Linked DNA regions of Arabidopsis thaliana. The protein of the gene in region 2 purifies or fractionates together with the protein of the main gene of each other region. This does not show direct contact. Each region holds a gene or a part of one and is shown on either strand. Other genes may lie near its edges.

Region 1 (9,712 bases), on a different chromosome or scaffold from region 2:
GATTTACTTGTTCTCATATTAGTTTGTTATACAACTCACTTAGAATAATGTAGATTACATTTCAGCCAAATTCATGTAAAAGATGCTTTTCTTTGTGATGTTTTTAAAATGCTTTCTTTTCACTTTTTTTCTTTCTTAACTATAAATCTTGATGCAATGCCTACCTTCTTAGAACATAAGATCTTCTTTAAAATCCAAAATCGTAGGCCACTATTTCATTATACTTATGTAATATATGTGATACAGATACATCTATATACAAATTAAACACGAAACCATACATGCACGGTGTGATCACACACGCACACACATAGAAACATAAACACGCAATAATTTCTATACAGTTTAATTTCATTTTTAACTTACTTCTTTTTTTTTGGTGAAGATTCTTGAGAGAAAAGAAATCGAAGATGGCAACAAAATCCACCGGAGGTACCGAGAAAACCAAGTCGATAGAAGTGAAGAAGAAACTAATCAACGTGTTGATCGTCGATGATGATCCATTAAACCGTAGACTCCACGAGATGATCATCAAAACGATCGGAGGAATTTCTCAGACTGCAAAGAATGGCGAGGAGGCAGTGATCCTCCACCGTGACGGCGAAGCATCTTTCGACCTTATTCTAATGGATAAGGAAATGCCTGAGAGGGATGGAGTTTCGGTACTTAATGATCTTGAATCTTAATCTGCTTACCAAATAGACAATTTAAGTGGGTCGATCATCACTATACTTAAAAACCTCCTCTTTAATATAGTTTTTATGTTCTTTGTTGATTTAATTTAGACAACTAAGAAGCTAAGAGAAATGAAAGTGACGTCAATGATCGTTGGGGTAACGTCAGTAGCTGACCAAGAAGAAGAGCGTAAGGCTTTTATGGAAGCTGGGCTCAACCATTGCTTGGAAAAACCCTTAACCAAGGCCAAGATCTTCCCGCTCATTAGCCACCTCTTCGATGCTTGATGGATGAAGGCTCATTAATGTATCTATATTTTCAATCATGAAATCACCTACACGTGTATTTGACACAAAAATCTGCATTTGTTGTGATATAGGGTTTCTCATATCTATGTTTGATTTATTTTCTTATCGTCCGAGGTAAAATCATGCAAGTCATTTCTTTTGGCTAATAAAATATTAAAATAAGGTTTTCTCTTGTTGAATGAGCTAATTTACTTCATATGGCTCATGCAAATCTCCATATCAGTTAACTTTAAAAAAATTATACATAGTTTCGCGATAAATTCTAAATTTTAAATAACTATCACATTTACTAAAAATAAAATAATGTATGTATGTAAATATGTAATGTAACTGGCTAATTTAATTGAATAATTATAATACTTACAAAAATAATATATATCGCGAATCTGACTATATTTATGTTTTGTTTATCTTATTCAAAAAGATGAAAATATAAACACTTTACTAGCTATATCTATTTTCTTTTCTCTATTTTTCAAAAACATAATTTACATAATATTTCATATTATTTCAATTCCAGTTTACGTTCCATATTTTTAATGTATATATATTTTATTCTTGTTCTTCGCATATATACGTCATATTATTTTGTCCAATACTATATGTCATTAAGAAGATAGGGTACTACTACTGGGTACATCATATCTTACTTTGGATTTGATAAGGTTTGTGTAAATAAGAGTAAATTCTATTTTCAACGGCGTGTATCATCTTAGCCAAATTTGATTAAGCATTGTGTGCTATACACTCAGAAAGTACCTATACTAATGTTGCACTATAAATAATAATTATTACAAATTTTTAATCAAGAAACTAGCTATGGGTCTAAAGATCAGAACATAAAATGTAATTTTTTTTTCTTCTAATTTTGACTTTATAACACAATTTTTTTGGACATCTTTTTATTTATTTATTTAGAAACGTTAAATTTTTATTTGATATCTGTTTTGAATTAAATCAGAAAAAGAACATCAAACAAAAATTTAACGTTTCTGAATTTCTTTGGTTGTGACCACATTTCTTGCAGCCGTATAACTCGTGACTCTAAATCTTAAAAGCTTTGGTTGTGTAAGTGTTTGAAGTGGAGTTATATTCTACACTTTAATTTTGAGTTGTTTTGTTTGAACTCTATATCTGTACTTCACTTTTCAAAGCATCTACTATGTCTCTCTGGAAAGTTCAAATTTGTTATATATAGGCAAACCAATTCTTCACTTGGCTTTTCAGGTGTATTGGTTTGATTCGGAAATGCTTGGGAGGTTGAACCGAAGAACAAAGGATTGATGAGTTCGAATATTTTCTATATATACCATAGCTTTTTGAGATTATGATTTGTTTAGATAAACAAGATCGTGTTGTGTTATTTGTCTCTGCTTCTTTATTTAACATACGTATGGCATCGTAACATCTTCATATGTTTGTAAATACAATTATTTTCACTTTTGTTTTGATATTACTTTCGAAAATATATGAAAGTGTTATCTATAAACTATATCAGGAATCAGTGGTTCAACAATTAATGATATCCAAGAAAAACGCTGTGTATTATAATGTGGATTACGAAAGTTCTGACAAAATTTGTGTGAAATTTTGTATGTCCGCTTTTTCTGTTTTCTTTCTTATGCATTTTCGATCATTTTATCTGAAATGTGTTACAATTAAACTAAATATTCCTCTACTACATAACTCAAGCTCACATTTTTTTTTTTTGTTACTTCGGCGCAAAGTCTTCAAACACTAATTAACAAGATTTCCCGTGTGGATGCTTAGCATTTTTCTCCACCCTAACTAAGATGGAAAAATTACTCATACCAGTAAACGAAACTATTCGTAAAAACTGATTTCCTTTTTGTAAGTGTAGAACAAATAATTTTTTTCACCGACAACTTCCATTTTTTTACTATCTCTAAAATTTTCAACACGTATTCCAAGTATTTCCTTTTATTTTGAGTAATACTCTTGTTTCCAAAAATAAGAGTTAACATGATTAGCTTATATACTTGATCTTTTGGGTTCTTGTTGTGATTATATGAATGATGAAGACAAAGAAGAAAGAATCGAGAGGAGAAATTGGGAAGAACATGTCGTTGATATATAAGAAGAAACTAACGGTGTTGGTCGTTGACGATGATCCATCTTGTCGTACACTCCACATGGGAATCATTCAAATGGCTGGAGGATTCCCTTACATGGTGAAAAACGGCGAGAAATAAGAAGCTACGTGACATGAATGTGACGTCAATGATCGTGGGGATGACGTCACATGAGGACGAGACTAGGGCATTCATGGAAGCTGGAGTTGACCACTGCTTGTCAAAGCCCTTAACCTTTGGAAAGATCGCATCCATCATTGACCATCTCAAAACCGCATAATCTACCGATTAACAAAATATTACTTGGTTTAGTTCGGTTATGTGACTACTGATATAAATCTTGTTCAATGCAATTTGGTCTAGTTCGGTTCTGTCTGGTTCAATCCAATTAACTCACGTGATCTGCACATGATCATCGTCTACATTTTAATTAAATAAAAATCTAAATTTCAAATCACTTTATCCATTCCCCAGTAAAAAAAAAGTTTCAGACTTTGGCAAAAAAAAAATGTCACTCTTGTTCCTCAATCCTCCGTTTCCCTCCAATTCAATCCACCCAATTCCTCGTCGTGCCGCCGGAATATCCTCCATTCGATGCTCAATTTCTGCACCGGAGAAGAAACCGAGGAGGAGGAGGAAGCAGAAGCGCGGCGACGGAGCTGAGAATGACGACTCTTTGTCTTTCGGAAGTGGTGAAGCTGTCTCCGCTCTGGAGAGGAGTCTCCGCCTCACTTTTATGGACGAGCTTATGGAACGAGCTAGAAATCGAGATACTTCAGGTGTTTCTGAGGTTATCTATGACATGATTGCTGCTGGGCTTAGCCCTGGACCTCGTTCTTTCCATGGTTTGGTTGTAGCTCACGCGCTTAACGGCGACGAACAAGGCGCGGTATATGCTTCTCTCTATAGCTTAAATTAAAGACGTAGACTTTATGTTTTTAAGAAATCATACAATGCTGGAGCTTAAACTAAATCGAATTTGAATTGTTGTGCTTTATAGAACTTGAGTTATGGTTTAAGACTTTACAAATTTTTTGTATCAAAATTAGAACTTTACTCTTTCTCATAGCTTATTGAGTGTGTTTGAACTGAAAGATTGCTTCTTTTTTTTTTGCTTGGTGTGTGTTTGTGTGTGATTGCAGATGCACTCGCTGAGAAAGGAGCTAGGTGCAGGCCAACGTCCGCTTCCTGAGACTATGATTGCTTTGGTTCGTCTCTCTGGTTCGAAAGGGAATGCTACGAGAGGCCTAGAAATCCTCGCCGCTATGGAAAAGCTTAAGTATGACATTCGTCAAGCTTGGCTCATTCTTGTTGGTATTCTCTCTTACTACTAAGACTATGTGTTAGAATCAAATGGTTGTTGCTTGTGTCTACCAGGATTGAGGTTACTGAGTAATCGTTTATAATTTGATTGTGGTCTTTTATAGAGGAGCTCATGAGGATCAATCACTTGGAAGATGCGAATAAAGTTTTCTTGAAGGGTGCAAGAGGTGGGATGAGAGCAACAGATCAGCTTTATGATTTGATGATTGAAGAAGATTGCAAAGCTGGAGATCATTCTAATGCCTTAGACATCTCTTACGAAATGGAGGCAGCTGGTAGAATGGCCACAACATTTCATTTCAACTGTCTTCTTAGTGTGCAGGTTTGTTATGTTTTTTTTTAGAACGTATACACACACTTCTTCTTTGTATAATGAAGATGGTAAGTCTTTTTGTTGACATCAACTACATTTTTCTTTGCTTCCGTTGTGTAGGCTACATGTGGGATTCCCGAGGTAGCTTATGCTACATTCGAAAATATGGAGTACGGTGAAGGTTGTATGTTTTTCTTAGCTAATTTCCGCTTCAATTGTTTGGTTTAGTTGTTGCCTGATGGCTTTTGACATGGCTTGATGTAATCTTGATTTGGTAGTATTTATGAAGCCTGACACTGAGACATATAACTGGGTGATTCAAGCCTACACTAGAGCCGAGTCATATGATAGGTAATTCTTATGAGTTTTTGATTGCACACATTTCTCTTAGAAGTGGACAAATTTTCAGGTAGCCTGTTGCATGAATCACAGGGTTCAGGATGTTGCTGAATTACTTGGAATGATGGTTGAGGACCACAAACGTGTGCAGCCAAATGTGAAGACTTATGCGTAAGAGAATCATTATTTCTGTATTGTACTCATTTCTACCAACTTTGCATTTCTACCTGTTCTATTGTAAAAATCCTAATATGATCTGTATGATGATCCATTTCAGGCTCTTAGTTGAGTGCTTCACCAAATATTGTGTCGTGAAGGAAGCGATTAGACATTTTCGTGCTCTTAAAAACTTTGAAGGAGGAACAGTAATTTTACACAATGCAGGGAATTTTGAGGATCCTCTCTCTTTGTATCTCAGGGCTTTGTGTCGAGAAGGTATGCATACACTTGTACCTGTGTCAATATAATATGCAGAGGCATATGTTGAACACCTTCTGGGAGATCATGAGAACTTATGATTAAAACGATTTATGATTATGGTTCTCTATTTCCCTTATTTCTGTTTTTATACTTAAGCGTTATATTTGTTGATTTTTAGGACATGCTAAATTTACTGTCTTTAAACGGTACCCTCTACCTTTGAACCAGGAAGAATTGTTGAGCTTATTGATGCTTTAGATGCAATGCGCAAAGATAACCAACCTATACCTCCAAGAGCCATGATTATGAGCAGAAAGTATCGAACACTAGTCAGCTCATGGATTGAACCATTGCAAGAAGAAGCTGAACTTGGCTATGAGATTGATTATTTAGCGAGGTAAAAACTTGAGTTCTGCGTGGTTTGACTGGAATTTTGTTGATCAGATTCTATCCTCCCATTTACAAGTTATACGCTAATGCTCTGTTCTAATTGTCAGAAAGGAAGTATAGTGTCTTTTTTTACATGTTGTCTTGATATACTAAGATTCGCATTCTGTAAACATTTTCAGGTACATAGAGGAAGGGGGACTTACTGGTGAACGCAAGCGTTGGGTACCTCGAAGAGGGAAAACTCCTTTAGATCCCGATGCTTCTGGTTTTATATACTCAAACCCTATTGAAACATCCTTTAAACAGAGATGCCTTGAAGATTGGAAAGTTCACCATAGGAAGCTCTTGAGAACCTTACAGAGTGAAGGTCTTCCAGTTCTAGGAGATGCATCAGAATCTGATTACATGAGAGTGGTGGAGAGATTACGGAACATAATAAAAGGTCCTGCACTGAATCTTTTGAAGCCGAAAGCAGCAAGCAAGATGGTTGTATCAGAGTTAAAGGAAGAACTCGAAGCTCAGGGTTTGCCAATTGATGGAACAAGAAATGTGCTTTACCAGCGTGTCCAAAAAGCAAGGAGAATAAACAAATCTCGAGGTCGACCTCTTTGGGTTCCTCCAATTGAAGAAGAAGAGGAGGAGGTAAATTTATGCTTATGCTCTTTCTTTCATTCGGGTAAACATGCATCTTTAGTACTTGTTACATCTAAAAAAGTTTGTTTTTGATATAGGTCGATGAAGAAGTAGACGATTTAATATGTCGAATCAAGCTACATGAAGGAGACACAGAGTTCTGGAAACGTCGGTTTCTTGGAGAAGGCTTGATTGAAACTTCAGTTGAATCCAAGGAAACGACTGAATCAGTGGTTACAGGTGAATCGGAGAAAGCGATTGAAGATATTTCAAAAGAAGCTGACAATGAGGAGGATGATGATGAGGAGGAACAAGAAGGAGATGAGGATGATGATGAAAATGAAGAGGAAGAAGTGGTTGTTCCAGAAACTGAGAATCGAGCAGAAGGAGAAGATTTAGTGAAGAATAAGGCAGCTGACGCGAAGAAGCATCTTCAAATGATTGGAGTCCAACTCTTGAAAGAATCCGATGAAGCAAACAGAACAAAGAAACGTGGGAAGAGGGCATCTCGTATGACACTTGAGGTTAGTACGTATAACACACTATGATATGGTTATGATTTAAGTAGACACATGATTATGAATTTGATAGTTTAAGCATGTTTTCACAATGCCGATTACCTCCATATCAGGATGATGCAGATGAGGATTGGTTCCCTGAGGAACCATTTGAAGCATTCAAAGAAATGAGGGAAAGAAAAGTGTTCGATGTGGCTGACATGTATACAATAGCAGACGTTTGGGGTTGGACATGGGAGAAGGATTTTAAGAACAAAACTCCAAGGAAATGGTCACAAGAGTGGGAAGTCGAGTTGGCAATTGTGCTCATGACAAAGGCAGGAGTTCCTTCAAGCCTCTAAAGCATTATTACACAAATTGTTTTATGATCCTTCATGTTAATAATAATGATAAATTTGTGTAGGTGATTGAATTGGGTGGAATTCCAACGATTGGTGATTGTGCAGTGATATTACGAGCTGCTTTAAGAGCTCCCATGCCTTCAGCCTTCTTGAAGATCTTGCAGACGACACACAGTCTTGGCTACTCATTTGGCAGGTAACTCAGTTACAACCTCTCTTTGGGTTTAGTCTGTTAGAGAAGCTAGTCTAAGGCGTTCGATATGACTAAACTTGACTATAAACAATGACATTTGAATACACGTGGTAAAAATCTGTTGCAGCCCGTTGTACGATGAGATCATCACATTGTGTTTGGACCTTGGAGAACTTGATGCAGCCATCGCCATAGTTGCAGATATGGAAACCACAGGGATCACTGTCCCTGATCAAACCCTTGACAAGGTCATATCTGCTAGACAATCTAATGAGAGTCCGCGGTCTGAGCCTGAAGAGCCAGCATCAACAGTAAGCTCTTAGTTATCATATCCTCTTCTGCTTGTTGTGAAGTCTCTATAAGAAACAGAAATCGGTAGAAGGAGCTGAATCTGTCTTAGTTATGAAAGTTTTGTTCATTATAAGTACAAGTCATGTAGTTCCGAGTGTAGAACAGTTTTTACTAGTGTTGCACCAGGTCCCTCCAGTCTGATACTTAATTCTTTAGTGTTGGATCTTTCTATATAAGAAACGCAAATAGCAAGACGCAGCTGAATTGGTCTTACTAACAAACGTTTTGTTCACGAAAAAGATAGGAAGAAACAAATGAACGATAGTAACAAAAGTTAGAAAATCCTCATCATATTGCATAAGATAGGAAGAAACAAAATAAGGATAGTAATCTTATTCAATGAGAAAAAGAGTGAGTAAACGAAGGAGGCTAAATTAGGCTTTAAAATTCGTTTGCTTCTTCAGACCCTCGAGGACTCGTTTTTTCCATTTATTATCCTCCTGCTTGGTTCGCTTTATAAAGGCGGCAACTCTCAACATGTTTTGGTCATATCGACGCTGTTCTAGAATGGGTTTTCGTTTCCTTTTGCCTCCCGGAGGTTGTTTGATTTGCATTGAATTTGGAACGTAAGGGCACAAATGTGGCCTACACTTTATGCCGGCTACATGTACTCGGAGATCCAATTCTCTAAAATATCCAGTTTTTCCAATGATGTTGACTCTGTGGTGATCAAAAACCATGGAGACTTTCTTCTCCTCGTCAATGAAGAAACTCCCATGTATATATGCAATCGGCATGTCAGCCAATGGTCCTGTATCCATTTCCAAGATCTTGCTCCACGACACTTTATCATACTCGATCTTAGTCGTGATCCATATCTCAAACTCATATGGATTCCAGTCGTTGTGCGTAAGTAAAGCCGCAAGCTTCTCTTCTCTAACACAAGATAAAGTCACATAGTCATCATGGCCAGCGCTAAACGGTAGACGCAAAAGTGGCCCAAATCTCTCACTTGTGAAATCAAAACAGATTATGTGATCGTCGATTTTGTTTATTGCGTTACTTTTTGTAGCACAAAAGTAGGTATTTCCCTTGAGAGAAACACCACGCTGATAACACGATACTATCCAATATGGAGGGACATCAAGAGTTGTCCATAAATCGGTTTCAATATCGTAGATTTCATACCATGAAAACCGGTTTTCGGGTGCGTGGTTCACGGCCGAAGAGATGTAATGATCTATAAACCTCAAGACTTTGTGGCTACGACAAGAGTTGTTCTTGTTCACGTACCCTAGAGCGTACCTGTACATGTCCATATCCTGTTCTACGCGGTGCTGCTTCTTTACTAATGTGCAGCTTCATAAAGCTCTGACTTTGGGATAAAGCGTACAACGTTTTGCAAGTTAATTTCAATGTCCTCATATACTTCATGGGAAGTCTAGATACAATATCCTCTATCAAATCCCTTGGAAGATTTAAGATCATCGTTGTCGTTTTCTCAAGTTGCAACAAGGTTTTTTTTTTTTTAACCTTAAAAAAGTGTTCTTCTTTTCCTCTGATTTTTTTCCCGCAGAAGACTATACATAGGAATTTGAAGTTGGGCCCAATCGTGGGCTTCAGAATCTTCTCTTGTTTTCTTTTTGGTAATCACATTCATAACATCCAAGTTCTTTACCAACAATGACCATTTGTATGGGGAGAGCATCAAGTTTGTATGAAGCTGGGCTAACTATGGGCTTATTGGAATTTAAAACAGTATCTTAAATTCCATCTTTAATTGAAACATTTGATAAGTGGAAGCTGCCAAAACACGCGTCCATCTTTAATTAAAATCAAATGTGAATTGTTTTCATTTTTGTGACATTTAATATT
Region 2 (9,260 bases):
CATAGACTACATCTCTAGATGATTCACTGGTAAAGCTAGGCTTCAGAGACTCCAAGTAACCATCGTCTTTCTCAACAGTCTTCTGTTTCATGTTTCTACTCTCCTCAAACGAGGAATCTCCTTCAAGATTACTTAAGACCTCCTTCTTTCTCTTCCTCTTGAACGTGTACTTGATGCACCGATTTTTACTCAGTGCTAAAACTGGAGTTTCTTCGCACAAAGGAGATGCAGAAACCTCCATATTCTCACAGCTCTCTTTTTCTTCCTTCCTTGCCTCTGTTTCGCTAATCTCCAGCTTTCTGTCATTTTCATGTTCCCTCGGAGGAGATGTTTTCAAGGATATAAGAGTGCCGACATCCTTCTGAGAAGAGTTTGGAGACACTATTGGGGCTTCTCCATCTTTAACAGAAGATATGGAGTCAGTAGCATCAGCACAACCAGACATTTCTAAGCTCTCTACAATTTTACAAGACGAAACTTCGTGAAGACATACTCCATCATTCACATCTCCTACTTCTACAGAGGAAGACAGAACCCCATTGGCCATACTGCTATCTACTGTGTGGATCATCTGAGCTAAACCTTCAGTTTCCCTGCGTTTTGTCAGTATAGATGGAAGAGTGTAGTGACATTGATCCTTGTTATCTTTATAAGAACACCGGTTAATACTATTTATGCGAGTCAAAGACGGTACTTTTATCCCATTAGCCACCACTGATCCATTTTGTTCCACTGGGATGCAAAAACCTACAGCTTCTGTGTTCTCGTGACTGCAAGAAACCTCAGGCATTACAGAAACTGCAGCATCACGGTTATTCCAACAGAGGTTTTCCTCATGATTCTTTTTAAGATGTTTCTGACCATCCGTAAGTTTCTTGAGCTCATCGTGAAGTACTCTCAACTCCAACCTCAGCTCTCCTACAATATCTTCAGCTTCTCCAAGCTGAGCTTCAAGTTCCTCAACCTTCTGTTGCTGCTTCAAGGATTGCATCTCTGTCTCCTTAACCTATAAACACAAATCGGTTTTTTAAAAATTAGAGTTGAGGAGGAAACGCAAAGCCAGCCACAAAAGAAAGATATACTCCATTAGGGAAAGCTCATCCTCAAGCAAACGTGATACAGTCTCTAAGATGAAAAAGCTATATCCCCCACACTGAAAAACCTTTAACTTAAAAATTTCACGATGAAATGAGAATTGAGAGCATAAGCCATGAAATATGTGTAAGCCTCACTGCCAACAATGGTACAACGAATCTAGAACTTGCTGACACTAAGCTACACTTGGTTACGCTCATTAGTTTTAGGCCTTAGGTTTCATGAACAAATATCAATGGAGGAAGAGAAAAGCTATATCTGCAAAGTATCAATGTAATAGTCTCAAGAGTGTCAAAAACAATGGCTTGTATCAACGTTCAATGAAGTGAATGTAGTGAAAAAACATAGCAAAAATGATAGTCTCGAAGCATATCATTTGAATGATGGAAGATTTTAGTCACTTCAAATGTCAAAGACTGAATAAACAAAACTCAGAGTCACACACACACACACAACATTAACAATGCTTAAAACCATGAAAGCAAGGCTGAAAAACTTAATTTCAAAAGCCATCTTCATATGAAGCAAGAAAAAAGAAATGCCTCTAAGACCCCAAAAACATAATCAGGCAGAAACCAAATAAAACAAACCAAGAACCCATAAACAAATGAAAATAAGAACAAAGTGATAGTACCTTGGAATCAAGCATCTGTTTAAGCCTAACCAACGTATGAAGTGCTTCATTTCTAACCGTCACAAGTTCTTGCTGATACCTACGCGCCTTCTTCTCAGAAACCATCACACGTGCCGCCGCTTCCTTCGTCGTGTTCAGTATCGTATCGGCGTAGGCTCTCTTCAACGCCGCTAAGGTCTGTGTTAACCCAAAACAAAACGAACAAAAAATCATCGCAAACCCCGAAAAGAAAAGCAAGACAAAACCCACATCGTGAAACCCAAAATTTAAACAAAATTAGCGAAATCAGCAACAAGATTCTGTCCGATAAGAGAAACAAGGTCTAGAAGAAACAGAACGAAACTAAACGAAGAAAAATCCGAAATCGAAAAAAATGAACTCGTGAGAGGAGGAGATTGAGGGGGTTTAAGGTAATTGTACCTCTGGGTCTGCCATTAGAGCCGATAATGCGATTGCAGAGAAGCGATTGTTGATTTTCCGACCAAGGTCGCGAACTCGCCAAGAAGAAAGAAAAAGCTAAAAAGGTTTTTTTTTTTTTTTTTGTTTCTTTTTGTGTTTCCTTGAAGCGTCTGTCTGTTAGGAACAGAAAGAAGTATAAAGACCTATTTACCCCTAAAAACTCGATGTTATTTCTCAAACGCCACACCACACGTCACGTCAGCTTCAGCATTTCAGACTGCAAACGGCGGTACGGTTTCCCGTTATCTCCGTCACTCTTTTCGTAATCTCTCTTTTGCTTTTTACATTTTTCGGTGATAAATTTACAATTTCAAAATACACTGGACTTTTAATTTTTACCTCATTTAGACAATTAGACCACTAGATTTCGTAGCTTTTACCCCAAACAAAAGACTATATTGTAGCTAGTTCTAATTATTGAATTTTGTATCAACTATTCCAATACGAGACATGATATAATGTTCCATATTTGGTAGATACATTCAAAGAAAAAAAAAATGGTAGACAGCTAAAAAAGAAGCTAGCTCATGGGATTAAACCAAAATTAAGATATCCAAATGATTTTGAAGTTTCGATTGCCTAGAAGATGGATGGACAATTAAACCGACTTATAGAACATTGTCTAGTTTACAACATATATTACCAATGTAATTGTATTCTACTATTTACTAGTGTACACTAATACTACTTTTCTTGCAATTTTAGGCGCCAATTTTTTTTGATCGAAAAATATCGAGTTAACCAATTAAAACCGGGAAGTAATCATTAAACCGGGTAATGACCGGGTGATTACTCGAGACTGTTATCCACAATAAGAATCCACGTGTCTTCTTCAAGCCCCTCCCTCTTCTTCCATTTTTCCGCCATTTCACCTAGAGAGCGAGCTTTTGGGTGAGAAAATCTCTTCTTCTAAACTATTCTACTGCCAATCTTAATTCGTGCGTTTCTGTCTAGAGCTTGGTGGTGACTAGTAACTTAGCCGTTAATCTTAAATCTCTGATTCAATTCAAATCGAATTGCGATTTTCCCGAGAAAATCTCGTTTCACTTGCTGGAGGATTTTTGAATCCTTATGTGAACTCTAGTTACCCAAAATGAACCTAGCAATTCCAAATCCCAACTCACACCACCTCTCCTTCCTCATCCAGAATTCAAGCTTCATCGGAAACCGGAGATTCGCCGACGGCAACCGTCTCCGTTTCCTCTCAGGAGGAAATCGTAAACCATGCTCCTTCTCCGGTAAAATCAAAGCAAAGACTAAAGATCTCGTTCTCGGGAACCCCTCCGTCTCCGTGGAGAAAGGAAAGTACAGCTACGACGTCGAATCGCTGATTAACAAGCTGAGCAGTCTCCCACCACGCGGGAGCATCGCCAGGTGCTTAGACATATTCAAAAACAAGCTTTCGTTGAACGATTTCGCACTCGTGTTCAAAGAGTTCGCTGGTCGCGGCGATTGGCAAAGGTCGCTTCGTCTCTTCAAGTATATGCAACGGCAGATATGGTGCAAACCTAACGAGCATATCTACACTATTATGATCTCTTTGCTTGGTAGAGAAGGTCTACTAGATAAATGTCTTGAGGTATTCGACGAAATGCCTAGCCAAGGTGTGTCCCGCAGCGTTTTCTCTTACACTGCTTTGATCAATGCTTATGGTCGAAATGGACGGTATGAGACTTCTCTTGAGCTTCTTGATAGGATGAAGAATGAAAAGATATCACCTAGTATTTTGACTTACAACACTGTGATTAATGCTTGTGCTAGAGGTGGTTTAGATTGGGAGGGTTTATTGGGTTTGTTTGCAGAGATGAGACATGAGGGGATACAACCTGATATCGTGACTTATAATACACTGCTTAGTGCTTGTGCTATTAGAGGTTTAGGTGATGAGGCTGAAATGGTTTTTAGGACTATGAATGATGGTGGGATTGTTCCGGATTTAACCACATATAGTCATCTAGTTGAGACATTTGGGAAGTTACGCCGGCTGGAGAAAGTATGTGATCTTTTAGGCGAGATGGCCTCCGGCGGTAGTTTGCCGGATATCACTTCTTATAATGTGTTGTTAGAGGCATATGCGAAATCCGGGTCTATTAAGGAGGCAATGGGGGTCTTCCATCAGATGCAAGCTGCAGGGTGTACGCCGAACGCAAATACATACAGTGTTTTGCTGAATTTGTTTGGACAGAGTGGGAGGTATGATGATGTGAGGCAGCTTTTTCTTGAGATGAAATCAAGCAATACGGATCCTGATGCTGCTACATATAACATTTTGATTGAGGTTTTTGGGGAAGGGGGGTATTTTAAGGAGGTGGTAACTTTGTTCCATGATATGGTGGAGGAGAATATTGAACCGGACATGGAGACATATGAGGGTATAATATTTGCTTGTGGGAAGGGGGGACTTCACGAAGATGCTAGGAAGATCTTACAATATATGACAGCTAACGATATCGTGCCAAGTTCCAAGGCGTACACTGGGGTTATTGAAGCGTTTGGGCAGGCTGCTTTATATGAAGAAGCGCTTGTTGCTTTCAACACCATGCATGAAGTAGGAAGCAATCCAAGTATTGAAACATTCCACTCACTGTTATATTCGTTTGCAAGGGGAGGACTGGTCAAGGAGTCTGAGGCGATTTTGTCCAGGTTGGTGGATTCTGGTATTCCCAGGAACAGAGATACGTTCAATGCACAGATAGAAGCGTACAAGCAAGGAGGCAAATTTGAAGAGGCTGTGAAGACATATGTAGATATGGAGAAGTCAAGATGCGATCCTGATGAAAGGACGCTTGAGGCTGTTTTAAGTGTGTATTCTTTTGCGCGGCTTGTTGATGAGTGCAGAGAGCAGTTTGAGGAGATGAAAGCTTCTGATATACTGCCCAGTATCATGTGCTACTGTATGATGCTAGCTGTTTATGGGAAGACGGAGAGGTTAGTGCCTTCGCCAGTAATACACGGTTTCTGATGTTTTCTTTTGCGTGTATTTTTATAGCTCATACCTTACTAAGCATGATGATTTATTCCATCATCATAGCATTTTGCTCTTTCAGTTGCCTTCTGTCTATACATGGTCAGGCATGGGGGAGATATGCTAGTGTAATGTAGCACCCTAGTTAATTTTCTTGCAGCTAACTTGAGTGTTCTGGATAAGCAGTAACTTTAGCCATTGTTTTGTATATAACATCTTAAGATTTTAAGCAACACTTCAAATTTTTTTTTTGGTTTATAGGTGGGACGATGTCAATGAGTTATTGGAGGAGATGCTTTCAAATAGAGTATCAAATATTCATCAAGTTATTGGGCAAATGATCAAGGGAGATTATGATGATGACTCAAATTGGCAGATAGTGGAATACGTGTTGGACAAACTCAATTCAGAAGGATGTGGTTTGGGAATAAGGTTTTACAATGCACTTCTGGATGCTTTGTGGTGGCTGGGCCAGAAAGAGCGAGCTGCAAGAGTACTCAATGAGGCAACAAAGCGTGGACTTTTCCCTGAGTTATTCCGGAAAAACAAACTTGTGTGGTCTGTCGATGTACATAGGTAGCCTAAGATCCCTACACTGGCTTCGTTTCATGTGTATGAAATGGTTGAGTACCAGTCAATCTAATTCTTGGTTTTCAATGTTCTGCAGGATGTCAGAGGGTGGCATGTATACAGCACTATCGGTTTGGCTAAATGATATAAATGATATGCTTTTAAAGGGAGATCTTCCTCAACTAGCTGTTGTTGTTTCAGTGTAAGTATTTTGATACTGGGTACCTACCTCATTGCAAGATGCCTTCAAGCTTTTTATCTTGCCTTTTGCCTTTTTTAATTCTTTCTTTCTAACCTCTCAGACGGGGACAGTTGGAGAAAAGCTCTGCTGCAAGAGAATCTCCTATCGCGAAAGCTGCTTTCTCCTTCTTGCAGGATCATGTCTCGTCCTCATTTTCCTTCACGGGATGGAATGGAGGTCGCATTATGTGCCAGCGATCTCAGCTCAAGCAGTTACTGTCAACGAAAGAGCCAACTTCAGAAGAATCCGAAAATAAAAACCTAGTGGCATTAGCAAACTCGCCAATATTTGCGGCTGGAACAAGAGCTTCAACAAGCAGTGACACGAACCACAGCGGTAACCCTACACAACGAAGAACCAGGACGAAAAAAGAACTAGCAGGGAGCACAGCTTAAGAACTAGACAACGTAGTTTCTGTTGCCAAGTCCAGAAATCAAAGGCCTCTTCTGCCTTCCTCCATATAGACTGGTGGGTGAAAACTGTGGGCGTATTTCACAAGCACTCCATATCCATGATAACTATGCTATGGTTTCAAGCAGTAGAGTCAACCTCTGTTAGACAGAAGAAGCTGGAGAAGAAGATAAATGGTGATCTTAGTTTATATGAAGAAGCGTCTATATGAAAATCTCAAGTAAGTAGCCAACTAAGTGTTTTGATGGATTGTTAGACCCATGATTTTGCAGCCATAGATTTTTTTTCGTTTTTTTTTCCATTCAACTATGTTTTTGATTACTATAAAGCTAAATGCTAATGTAAGATCAAAGCTCTAGTTACAATTAAAGGATCTATTAATCAAGATTCCTCAGGGAAGCTCTAGTTTTTGCTTGTGACCTCACCTGATGAACTCTCTCTGTTTCGAAATCTAACTTATTACATAGCAATGACCCAACTCCACCCAGAATAAAGAAAACAATCTGTTGTGCAAGATTCCTTCTTCGGTCTGATTAATCTTTTTCTCTCTCTCGTCCTCAGATATGTGTTTGTTTTCTGATTTAGGAAAGTCACTACAAGTTTGTCATCCAAATTGGTAATAAAATAAGAAAAAGATTGGAGAAAGAAAGGATCTTCCTATAGTGCTTCACACATTACAACTTTAAGATTCCACTTTGTGTGCGCATAAAAGTAATGGTGGCTTTGCTTTCTAACCGATGCTAGTGCTTTGTGTGATTTTGCTGTCTTCCAAAACTATTTACCAAATTTTGTAAATACTTTTTAGAATCTTTTCCCTACAAATCTAAAATAGATAAATAATAATAGTATGTGATCATATTGCTTACAGTCAAATCACATCCTAACATTCTACTAAAAGACTAAAACTATCACCTTTTTGTTTTTTAATGCTATATAGTTGTGATCAAGTCTGGACATACGATCATGCTGTTTATACTACAATTAGGTCCTTAACAGCGTCTTAAAATTTACTCTTAGCTAGAAAACGACAAATTCGACTACACAATCATTTTTGTTGTTGAATTAGATTCCTGAAATTGTAAGTTTTTGTGTTGAAATTCAAAGTTATAATTTCCAAAAAGGATTCACCTGTCTCCCAAGATTTTTTTCTTAATAATCAACTCATAGATCCACAAGATATAGTATTTTAGAAGAAAAAAAAGTACAAGGATGGAGCTGTAACTAAATAGATTATTAGAGCAGAGTACAGAATCATTTCAGAAGCTGACTATTTTTCTAAGCTCAAGTTGCATGCGCTTAGGCCTTAGAGACATTGCGTTGACCAGTACATTATAACCTGTAGATTTTTATCATAAAAATACATGAGGGTAACGTTAAGAAAAATAAAAGCGTCGATTTCATTTCATTTTTCTCATTCTGTTATTTCATTTTTTTGTATTTAACTTTGAGTTTGCGAAAGTCAATAAATATTTCTTCGTTATACGACCTACATTTTTTGGTCGACATAGCGAAATACTTTTTTAACTTCTTATTATAGGATAACATTTATTTAACTCTTTTTTCGTCATCCTATAAGATTAATTAAACTACTAACAAAAAACCTAATAAATCTAGTCAGCCAATGAATAAAAAAAGTCTATCCAAATGAAAACTCTGTAGAGAGACAGGCAGGTAAGAAAAAAATACAAGAACAGACGAATAAAAACAAAACACGTGTCATATGGTACCGTCACCAACACCTACAACATGTAATAGTTTAAAAAGGAACCACGTGGCTTTTGGCTTATAAAAGGGTCCCCAAAGAAGCTCAGATCTAACTCACACCACTCCATTGCCCATTGCTCTGTGTACTTTGCTTCTTTAGGAGAAAGAAAGCACAAGGGGCAAAATCGGAAAGATTATCATGGCCGACGGTAGTACTAGTTCTTCGGAGTCCACTACCGCCTGCGCTGGAAGCGGCACAAGAAGAGAGATTATGCTGTTCGGAGTCAGGGTTGTGCTTGACCCGATGAGAAAGTGCGTGAGTTTGAACAATCTGTCTGACTATGAACAGACGGCGGAGACTCCAAAGATCGACGGCGAAGATAGAGATGAACAAGATATGAACAAAACCCCGGCCGGTTACGCCTCGGCGGATGAAGCTCTTCCCATGTCTTCTTCTAACGGCAAAATCGAGAGGAAACGAGGTATTACTCTTCGATTGAAACTTTTTTTTATCATTCCATAAATTTGATCACTTTAAACTTAGGGATTTGTTAGATATGGTTTGAGAAATGGACTATGAACAACTTTATGTTCATTTGGATTTAGAAAGATGGCTAATTTATTGGGTTTCTTTCTATTTCTTAGGAGTTCCATGGACTGAAGAAGAACACAAGCTGTTCTTGCTTGGGCTGCAGAGAGTCGGTAAAGGAGATTGGAAAGGAATATCAAGAAACTTTGTCAAGACCAGAACCTCTACACAAGTTGCTAGTCATGCTCAGAAATACTTCCTCAGGCGAAGTAATCTTAACCGTCGCCGCCGAAGATCTAGCCTTTTTGACATGACTACTGATACGGTAAATCTCTAATCCTTTGTGACTCTAGTAAGTTAAGTGGTTAGGTTTAGTTTTTAGCTTAGTTGTTTAAAAGAAACTAATAGAGAGCCTTTGTGAATTGTTGGTTAGTGAAAACTTAAGTATAACAAAACTGATTTTGCTTGGTTTTGTTATCAGGTCATACCCATGGAAGAAGATCACCAAGTGCTTATACAGGAGAACACATCTCAATCATCTTCTCCTGTACCGGAAATCAACAACTTCTCTATACATCCGGTTATGCAAGTCTTTCCCGAGTTCCCGGTACCAACAGGGAATCAATCATACGGACAGCTTACTTCATCGAAT
Region 3 (7,390 bases), 2.1 Mb from region 2:
CTCTTCCTCGCTATTTTCCTTTCTCTTCTTCGATCTCTACGTTTTCTTCTTCGTCTTCTTCTCCTTCTCCTTCAGCTCGACCGCCAAAAACCGCCGGTAGTAATGGCGACGAAGAAGACACTTTTGAATGTAAGATAAAATAAATAAACCTTGTTTTCTTTGACTGCCTCTCTGTTTTCTGGGTTTTAGGATTTGTTTACGGTCTTTCTGTGTGTTTGCCTTTTTCTTGTCTTTAAGGTGTTTGTTAAAATGTCTCCTGCCTAAAAAATGTATCTTCTCAATGTTGCTTGCTCTCTCGCTTCCTTGACCTTATGATTTTAATGCTTTTTCTTGTCCTTAGAATCTGGTATTTCATAAAGGTCATAAGATACTAATTGGTCTCATAAAACATTGCTTCCAATCAAATTGGCAGATAAAGCAACTGATGATGTTGAGGTCATAGAAGATTGGGAAGAAGACGAAGATGAGGATGTTGAATCACAGGTATATCTCTTTCTACTACATTTTCACGTCAAAATCGCCACTCTGTTTCTTAGATTCTTATAAGCTAATCTTTCTTCTGTTTTACAGCTTGGTGATGGAGGAGATGGTGGTGGAATTGTTCTTAAAGGTGTAGCATGGGGTGAAAGAGTTCTCTCTATAGCTGCACAAGTTTTGAAGCAGTCTGAGAAAGACTTGGAATTGTTTGCTTTCAAAACTTCACCGCGTGGATATATATACGTCAGACTAGACAAACTCTCCACTGAGTAAGATTCTTCACCCTTCTATATCATCAAACCATTGCAAAAGAGCAGTATGTTTTGAGAATTAACGAAAGCTTCTTCTTTTTTATTGTACAAAAAAGATATGGATGTCCTACCATGGATGAGCTTGAGGAATTTAGTCGAGAATTTAAGAAAAGACTAGATGATGCTGGGGCTGAAAAAGTAATCCCAGAGGATCTAGCCCTTGAGGTCAAAAAGAGTCTTTCCCCAGTGAATCAACTCTCACTTGGTTCAGTTTTGTTACAAAATTTTGTTTCCGTTTTTTTTTTTTCTGTGTAGGTGTCATCTCCAGGAGCGGAGAGGCTACTGAGAGTCCCAGAGGACTTGCCCCGATTCAAGGATATGCCAATGACAGTAAGCTATGTAGAAGAAACAAACTCGAGGAAAGCAGTAAAGAGTGGAGTGTTCCTCTTGGAGTCTATAGATGCAGAATCAGATAACTGTGTCTGGAAATTAGCAGATGTAAGGGAGAACAGAGATCCCGAAAGCAAAGGCAGACCGTTAAGCCGGAAACAAAAGGACTTGAGAATCACACTGCCTTTCGCAGATCACAAGAAGATAAATCTCTACTTGGATTAGTTAAGTAGACGTAGAAGTAGAGTTGCTATTAAAGTAAGTTCATCGTCACTGCAGTTTCACATTGCTGTTTCCGGATAATTTCAAGTGATTTTGTATTAGTTGAGATGGTGAGTGAGATATCAAAACATATGACAAAAATTCACACTACTAAGATGTTGTAAGATGTGAACAGGAAAAAAAAGCTGACTAACAGAAACATTATCAAATCTTATGAAAATCATAAACTACCATCTTCAAACATTGAGCCAACAAGCTCTAACTTCTTGTACTCCCTTTCCTCTACTGGTTTCATAACGTATGGACCATCTGGTTCATCATAAGGCTTTGAGGTTCTGTATTCCTTCTCTGTTATCGATCTTATACCGTTTGGATCTGATTCCACTTCATCTTCTTCTTCATCATCTTCTTCTTCTTCCATGTCATCCTTTGGAGGATATCCTCGGGTTTGTGCCAGCAACCATTGATCAATAATACCACACTCAATTGCATATCTCGCTGTGCGTTCCAGGTACCCTTTATTGTTCATAAGATCTGGCTGAACCGTAAGCATTCTTATTAGACCTGAAATAGAGAGTAGTGTGGTTCAGTTAATCGCAAGCATAACTTCCAAATTGCTATGAAAAACAAATGACACAAGTGAAAATGTACCTGCAACGATGCCATCTCCAGATGCTGACATATCCCTTGTAAAAGGAGTAATGGGAACATCCTCCATTCCGGAAACAGCACCATTGTGCTCTTTGGTATAGTAATGGATCTTAGAAGTGCCATTGGTCACAAACAAGACCTTGAGATTTTCATGCCAAAGCTGTTCCACAGTTTCTGGCGGGTAATGGACAAACTTACTGATGTCATTGTTTTCTGTATCGAACTCTTCAGTAGGCTCGATTCCGCATAAGAATTCAAGTTCCTGTTTTGTGATTTCAATGACGTCTGCAAGATTCCACACTTCCTGTATGAAAGACTTGGTTTCTTCGCTGGAGTGCCATAGTGGTAAAGGGAGATTCAAGTCATAAAAAATGACATTGCCTAGTTGCTTTGATATCTTGATGGCTTGTATCGTAGTTGACATCATCTTCTTATCGAGTAGAGAATGCGTGCTGAAGTAGAACATTTTCGCCTGCACCAAAGTTAAGAGATTGGTGAACAAGAAAAAGAGCCAAAAACTCAATGTTCCAAATCTCCAGGACAATATATTACCTCTTTGAGCACATCAACGTTGATTTCAGATTTTGAAAGTGAATCCTCTGCACATGGCTTAATACAAGTCGATTTCAAGCGACCTCTCTTGCTGATCTTCATAGTAGAACACGCCGTAACCCTTTTACCATCAATCTTAACTGATCTAGTTTGGACTTTGCACACATTCAGATAATACAACATGGCTTGACCATAGTCATCAGCCCCAAGTTTGCCCATAAAAGCAACCTTACCACCCAAGCTTGCAAGAGCAATAGCAACACCTCCTGCACATCCTCCAGGAGCCCGGATATACTTCTCTGGAGCCCACTTTGCATCTCTCATCCGTTCGTGTAGTTCATAATCTAATAGCCTGTTTGCTGGCCTTCCCGAAGGCACAAAAGCATGTTGTGCAGATCCAAAGCAACACACGAGAGGAGGCCATCCATAAGTGTGACTAATATCTTCACCTTCATGTTTACTCAGATCAATCTCTTCTTCTTCACTCTCTGTATCAGTGCTTTCAACAGCCAATGCTTCCTCGACATCACTAACCTCAGCATCCATAATAGTAGCTAAATCATCCTCCACATCTTTATCTTTCTTAACAGTCCTCTTTCGTCTCACTTTCTTCTCGGTTTTTACTTCCTCCACATCAGAAGAAGCTGCTGCAGCTGTATATATGTCGAATTCAAATTAAGTACTCGTGAATCATCAAGTGAGAACCATCAGCTCAGAAATGGTAAAAGTCATTACCTTTCTTTCTAGTTCTTGTCTTTTTTGGTTTCAAAGCTGAGACAATGCTTTCCTTGTCTAAAACATCATCATTATCAACCAAAAATTCAGAAATTTCTTCTAATGGTTCATCCTTAACCACAACCTTCTTCTTCGTTGTTCTCTTAACACTTTTAGATGGTTTCTTTCCCACAACCGCACCGTTTCCATCATTACCTTCTTCTTCAAGAGGTGCTGACTCTGATAACTTTCTCCTACCAGCAGCCATAGAAAAGCTTTGTTTCCCATTCCATCTTTCACCTCTAAACTTCACAAAACCATGCGACTGGAGCAGACAAGGAACATCTGCATTGCATCTGCCAAAATCAAAGCACAGCTATGAGAAAACCATTACATCAAAATGTGAAATTTTCAAACAGAAAGACAAATATAGCCCTCAATTCAAATCATTGTTACTCCATTCTTCTGTAGAAAGATAAGATGAGCTAAACTTAAAGTTCGCACATTTTTGGGCAGTAAACTGGTTCTACGCCAAATCCATAGAAACCCATATACTAAAATTTCCTAAGGTTAGAAAACAAGAGAGAGAGAGAAGCAAAGGGACCTGGGGAATGATAAGAATTGGGTGAAGGAGAGAGACGCCATGAACATCAAATAAGAGCTCTTTTCCAAACGAAATTGTAGTAAAACTAAGCTCCGAAACCCATAAAGTCGAAAGAAGCGTAAACCCAGAAATGAACAAAGGAGAGCAATATGTTTATGAGTTTTGAGGGAGATTGGGGTTTAAGCTCTGAAACCGCAAGAGGAGCTAGCTGGGAGAGGATGAGGAGGAGGTTTAGCGCTTTAACGAAACGGCAAGCATTCTATGATCAAAATACTAAAACGTCAAGATGTCCCTATTCTGTCTACTATAATTTATTTACGGCTCATTTTTCTTCTTTAAAGCTAGTGAATTTAGTATTGTCTATATGACATTCTTTTAATGTAGGTAGAAATATTTGTTATGTAAAGTTTTTCGTGAAATCGTTTGCTATTAAAAAACTACTTCAAGGAAAATATTTTGTTGTGAAGTTAATTGGCTCATCATCACAAAGCTACAAAAAACTTACGATTAACTGAAATCATAATTACTATGATGATTTACGAGTAAATGATTTGATTGGCATAGAAATAATGCCTAAAGATGGTGTGATGAAAAACTTAATACAATTCTAACACGAGGATATATATATATATATATACTGTATATTTATTTATTTTTCGTCAAAAAATATAGACTGTATATATGTTATGGTAAAACGGCTATTTTTTGCTATATAGTGAAAATAATATCGTCTGGAGTTATAATAATTAGAATTTTGTATGGTTAATTAATTTCTATTGGTAATGTAACCATGAGTGCCTTGAGTGGAATGAAAGAAAATTGATGTAGTCAGAACAAATCTATGAAAATTTTGATATTTTTTAAAAATGGAATGAAATAGCTGGAGACTAACACACAATTTTCCATCATCTATCCAAATATATGTTTAAATGGTAAAAGATAGAATAGATAATGAAAAGAATTATGAGAGATTCACTACCAATTTCAAAATTATGAGAGATTCATTACCAATTTCAAAATCTCTCTAAAAACAAAGTTTTCTTCTCTTTTTTCTTTTCTTTTCTAGATCTTCATATCTAATTCAAAAGAGAAGCTGACTTTTGACGAGCGTGAAAGACAGAAGGTACTTGGATAACACAACAAGTTCAGAAAAAAAGTAGGTGAAAATTGGCTACCACCTTGCCTCTCTCATACATAAGTATTGTTTACTTCCTTGGTTCTTAAAATATTAGAACCCATTTTTTGTGTTTCTAATAATTGTTTCGTTGTTATCTAAGACTAAACTCATAGTTTTGTATACTTTAAGGTCAGATCGAAGCAGACAATACTGATATTTTGGAGGAACCTATTCTAAAATGGGTTCGTATCTTTTTCATCCGTTTCATTTTCGTTGAAAAAAACAGCGTTTACGTTTTGATACACTAATTTCTGTTAAGTATTGAATCATATTTCACCTTCGAAACATGTTTTGTATATGACTCAGATTTCACATCTTTGGAAACAACAACTTTCGAAGAAGTCGTGATAGCTTTGGGAAGCAATGTTGGAAACAGAATGAATAATTTCAAAGAAGCTTTACGATTGATGAAAGACTATGGGATCAGTGTAACCAGACACAGTTGTTTGTACGAAACAGAACCTGTTCATGTGACCGACCAACCAAGATTTCTCAACGCTGCAATAAGAGGTGTCACAAAGCTCAAACCTCATGAACTCTTGAACGTTCTCAAGAAAATTGAGAAAGAGATGGGTCGTGAAGAAAATGGTTTAAGGTATGGACCAAGACCACTTGACTTGGACATATTGTTCTATGGAAAGCACAAGATAATTTCTGATAAACTTATCATTCCCCATGAGAGAATCTGGGAAAGACCATTTGTTTTAGCACCTTTGGTAGATTTGCTTGGAACGGAAGATATTGATAATGATAAAATAGTTGCATATTGGCATTCACTCTCAATGCATTCAGGTGGAATTTTCCAAGCGTGGGAGCGGTTAGGTGGTGAGTCATTGCTTGGAAAAGACGGTATTATACAAAGGGTTATACCAATAGGAGATCATTTATGGGATTTTTCTAAGAAAACTTATGTGATGGGTATACTTAATCTTACTCCTGATAGCTTTAGTGATGGAGGTAAGTTTCAATCGGTAGATACCGCGGTTTCTCGGGTCCGGTCTATGATATCTGAAGGTGTAGATATTATTGATATCGGTGCACAGTCAACACGGCCGATGGCCTCAAGAATATCTAGTCAAGAAGAGATAGATAGACTGATTCCGGTTTTAAAAGTTGTTCGCGGTATGGCAGAGATGAAGGGAAAGCTCATATCAGTGGACACTTTTAACTCTGAGGTTGCTTTAGAAGCAATAAGAAATGGAGCTGACATTTTGAATGATGTATCCGGAGGAAGTTTAGACGAGAACATGCATAAGGTTGTTGCGGATTCTGATGTTCCTTATATGATCATGCACATGAGAGGAGATCCATGTACAATGCAAAACAAAGAGAATTTGGAGTATAATGAAATATGCAAAGATGTTGCCACAGAGCTTTATGAGAGAGTAAGAGAAGCAGAACTCTCTGGGATTCCAGCTTGGAGGATTATGATTGATCCAGGAATTGGATTTTCTAAGGGAATAGATCATAATTTAGATATTGTCATGGAGCTACCAAAAATCAGGGAAGAGATGGCTAAGAAGAGTATAGGATTGTCTCATGCACCTATACTTATAGGACCTTCAAGGAAGAGATTTTTGGGAGATATTTGTGGTCGTCCTGAGGCAAGTGAAAGAGATGCTGCAACTGTTGCTTGTGTTACTGCTGGGATACTAAAAGGTGCTAATATCATTAGAGTTCATAATGTTAGAGATAATGTAGACGCGGCAAGGCTATGCGATGCAATGATGACGAAAAGGTTCAAAAATGTTGATTAGTTGATATGATTTGTTGTATGGTTTTAAGACTTGAGATGTGTTAAAAATAAGTTTATTTTGTTTTTCCGTATGAAATTCAGAAGAATTTAGTTCATTTTATAAAGTTTATTGGCAGTTTTAAAATCCCTTTGTCTATTCGCAGTTGTAAAGTTTCTTTTAAGTCTTATTTGCTAGCCTTTGTATTCAGCCCACAAGAGTTTAGTAGGATCTCTTGTCATAAAAAGCCCGATACTGTACATTATGATTCATTTTCGTATTGGGACTTAACTCACAAAGTACACATAAAAAGTACTCATTTGTGATATTTTTAGATTTCATTTTACCTGTCATATCGGTATTAACAACATTTGAGTATTTTGGGCATAATCAAATTTATGACAACCGATCGAGGTTAGGAAAATTTCTTACTAATATTTAAAATATATAGAAGAAACTATACCTACACAAAACAAACATGAGAAAATGAAAATTTAGAATAGAAGAAAAATAAAAATAAACAGATAACTTAGTCTAATCAAAAACCATAAAGCAAAACGTTAAATGGAGGCGTAAGATCAATAAAGTTTAATGTCTAGAATAAGAGAACTTTCAAAAC

What was found. Proteins that work in one complex are often made in the same cells at the same time.
Region 1: the proteins of PTAC2 (region 2) and PTAC3 fractionate together in Arabidopsis thaliana (co-fractionation; one large-scale study listed by BioGRID). This does not show direct contact.
Region 3: the proteins of PTAC2 (region 2) and FLN2 fractionate together in Arabidopsis thaliana (co-fractionation; one large-scale study listed by BioGRID). This does not show direct contact.

What each region holds. Positions count from the first base shown.
Region 1 is NC_003074.8:1,121,388-1,131,099, reverse strand, and holds PTAC3 (plastid transcriptionally active 3), read left to right. Parts: upstream 1-3,518; 5' UTR 3,519-3,584; coding exon 3,585-3,965; intron 3,966-4,218; coding exon 4,219-4,390; intron 4,391-4,503; coding exon 4,504-4,721; intron 4,722-4,832; coding exon 4,833-4,893; intron 4,894-4,990; coding exon 4,991-5,063; intron 5,064-5,144; coding exon 5,145-5,222; intron 5,223-5,328; coding exon 5,329-5,486; intron 5,487-5,699; coding exon 5,700-5,868; intron 5,869-6,040; coding exon 6,041-6,503; intron 6,504-6,592; coding exon 6,593-7,018; intron 7,019-7,125; coding exon 7,126-7,329; intron 7,330-7,415; coding exon 7,416-7,549; intron 7,550-7,673; coding exon 7,674-7,869; 3' UTR 7,870-8,152; downstream 8,153-9,712. Other genes in the region: RR22 (response regulator 22), read left to right, coding at 411-662, 786-962; AT3G04270 (two-component response regulator ARR22-like protein), read left to right, coding at 3,017-3,196; AT3G04250 (F-box associated ubiquitination effector family protein), read right to left, coding at 8,272-9,150.
Region 2 is NC_003070.9:28,116,336-28,125,595, reverse strand, and holds PTAC2 (plastid transcriptionally active 2), read left to right. Parts: upstream 1-3,018; 5' UTR 3,019-3,281; coding exon 3,282-5,116; intron 5,117-5,414; coding exon 5,415-5,729; intron 5,730-5,820; coding exon 5,821-5,925; intron 5,926-6,025; coding exon 6,026-6,359; 3' UTR 6,360-6,932; downstream 6,933-9,260. Other genes in the region: AT1G74860 (uncharacterized protein), read right to left, coding at 1-1,006, 1,730-1,906, 2,150-2,164; AT1G74840 (Homeodomain-like superfamily protein), read left to right, coding at 8,279-8,561, 8,725-8,933, 9,090-9,260. UniProt on the Arabidopsis thaliana protein: Involved in plastid gene expression.
Region 3 is NC_003070.9:26,012,536-26,019,925, reverse strand, and holds FLN2 (fructokinase-like protein), read right to left. Parts: upstream 3,903-7,390; coding exon 3,862-3,902; intron 3,614-3,861; coding exon 3,279-3,613; intron 3,197-3,278; coding exon 2,544-3,196; intron 2,464-2,543; coding exon 1,992-2,463; intron 1,905-1,991; coding exon 1,561-1,904; downstream 1-1,560. Other genes in the region: AT1G69210 (Uncharacterized protein family UPF0090), read left to right, coding at 1-129, 413-483, 571-746, 845-953, 1,044-1,343; AT1G69190 (Dihydropterin pyrophosphokinase / Dihydropteroate synthase), read left to right, coding at 5,217-5,220, 5,345-6,795. UniProt on the Arabidopsis thaliana protein: Required for proper chloroplast development, most likely through regulating plastid-encoded polymerase (PEP) dependent chloroplast transcription.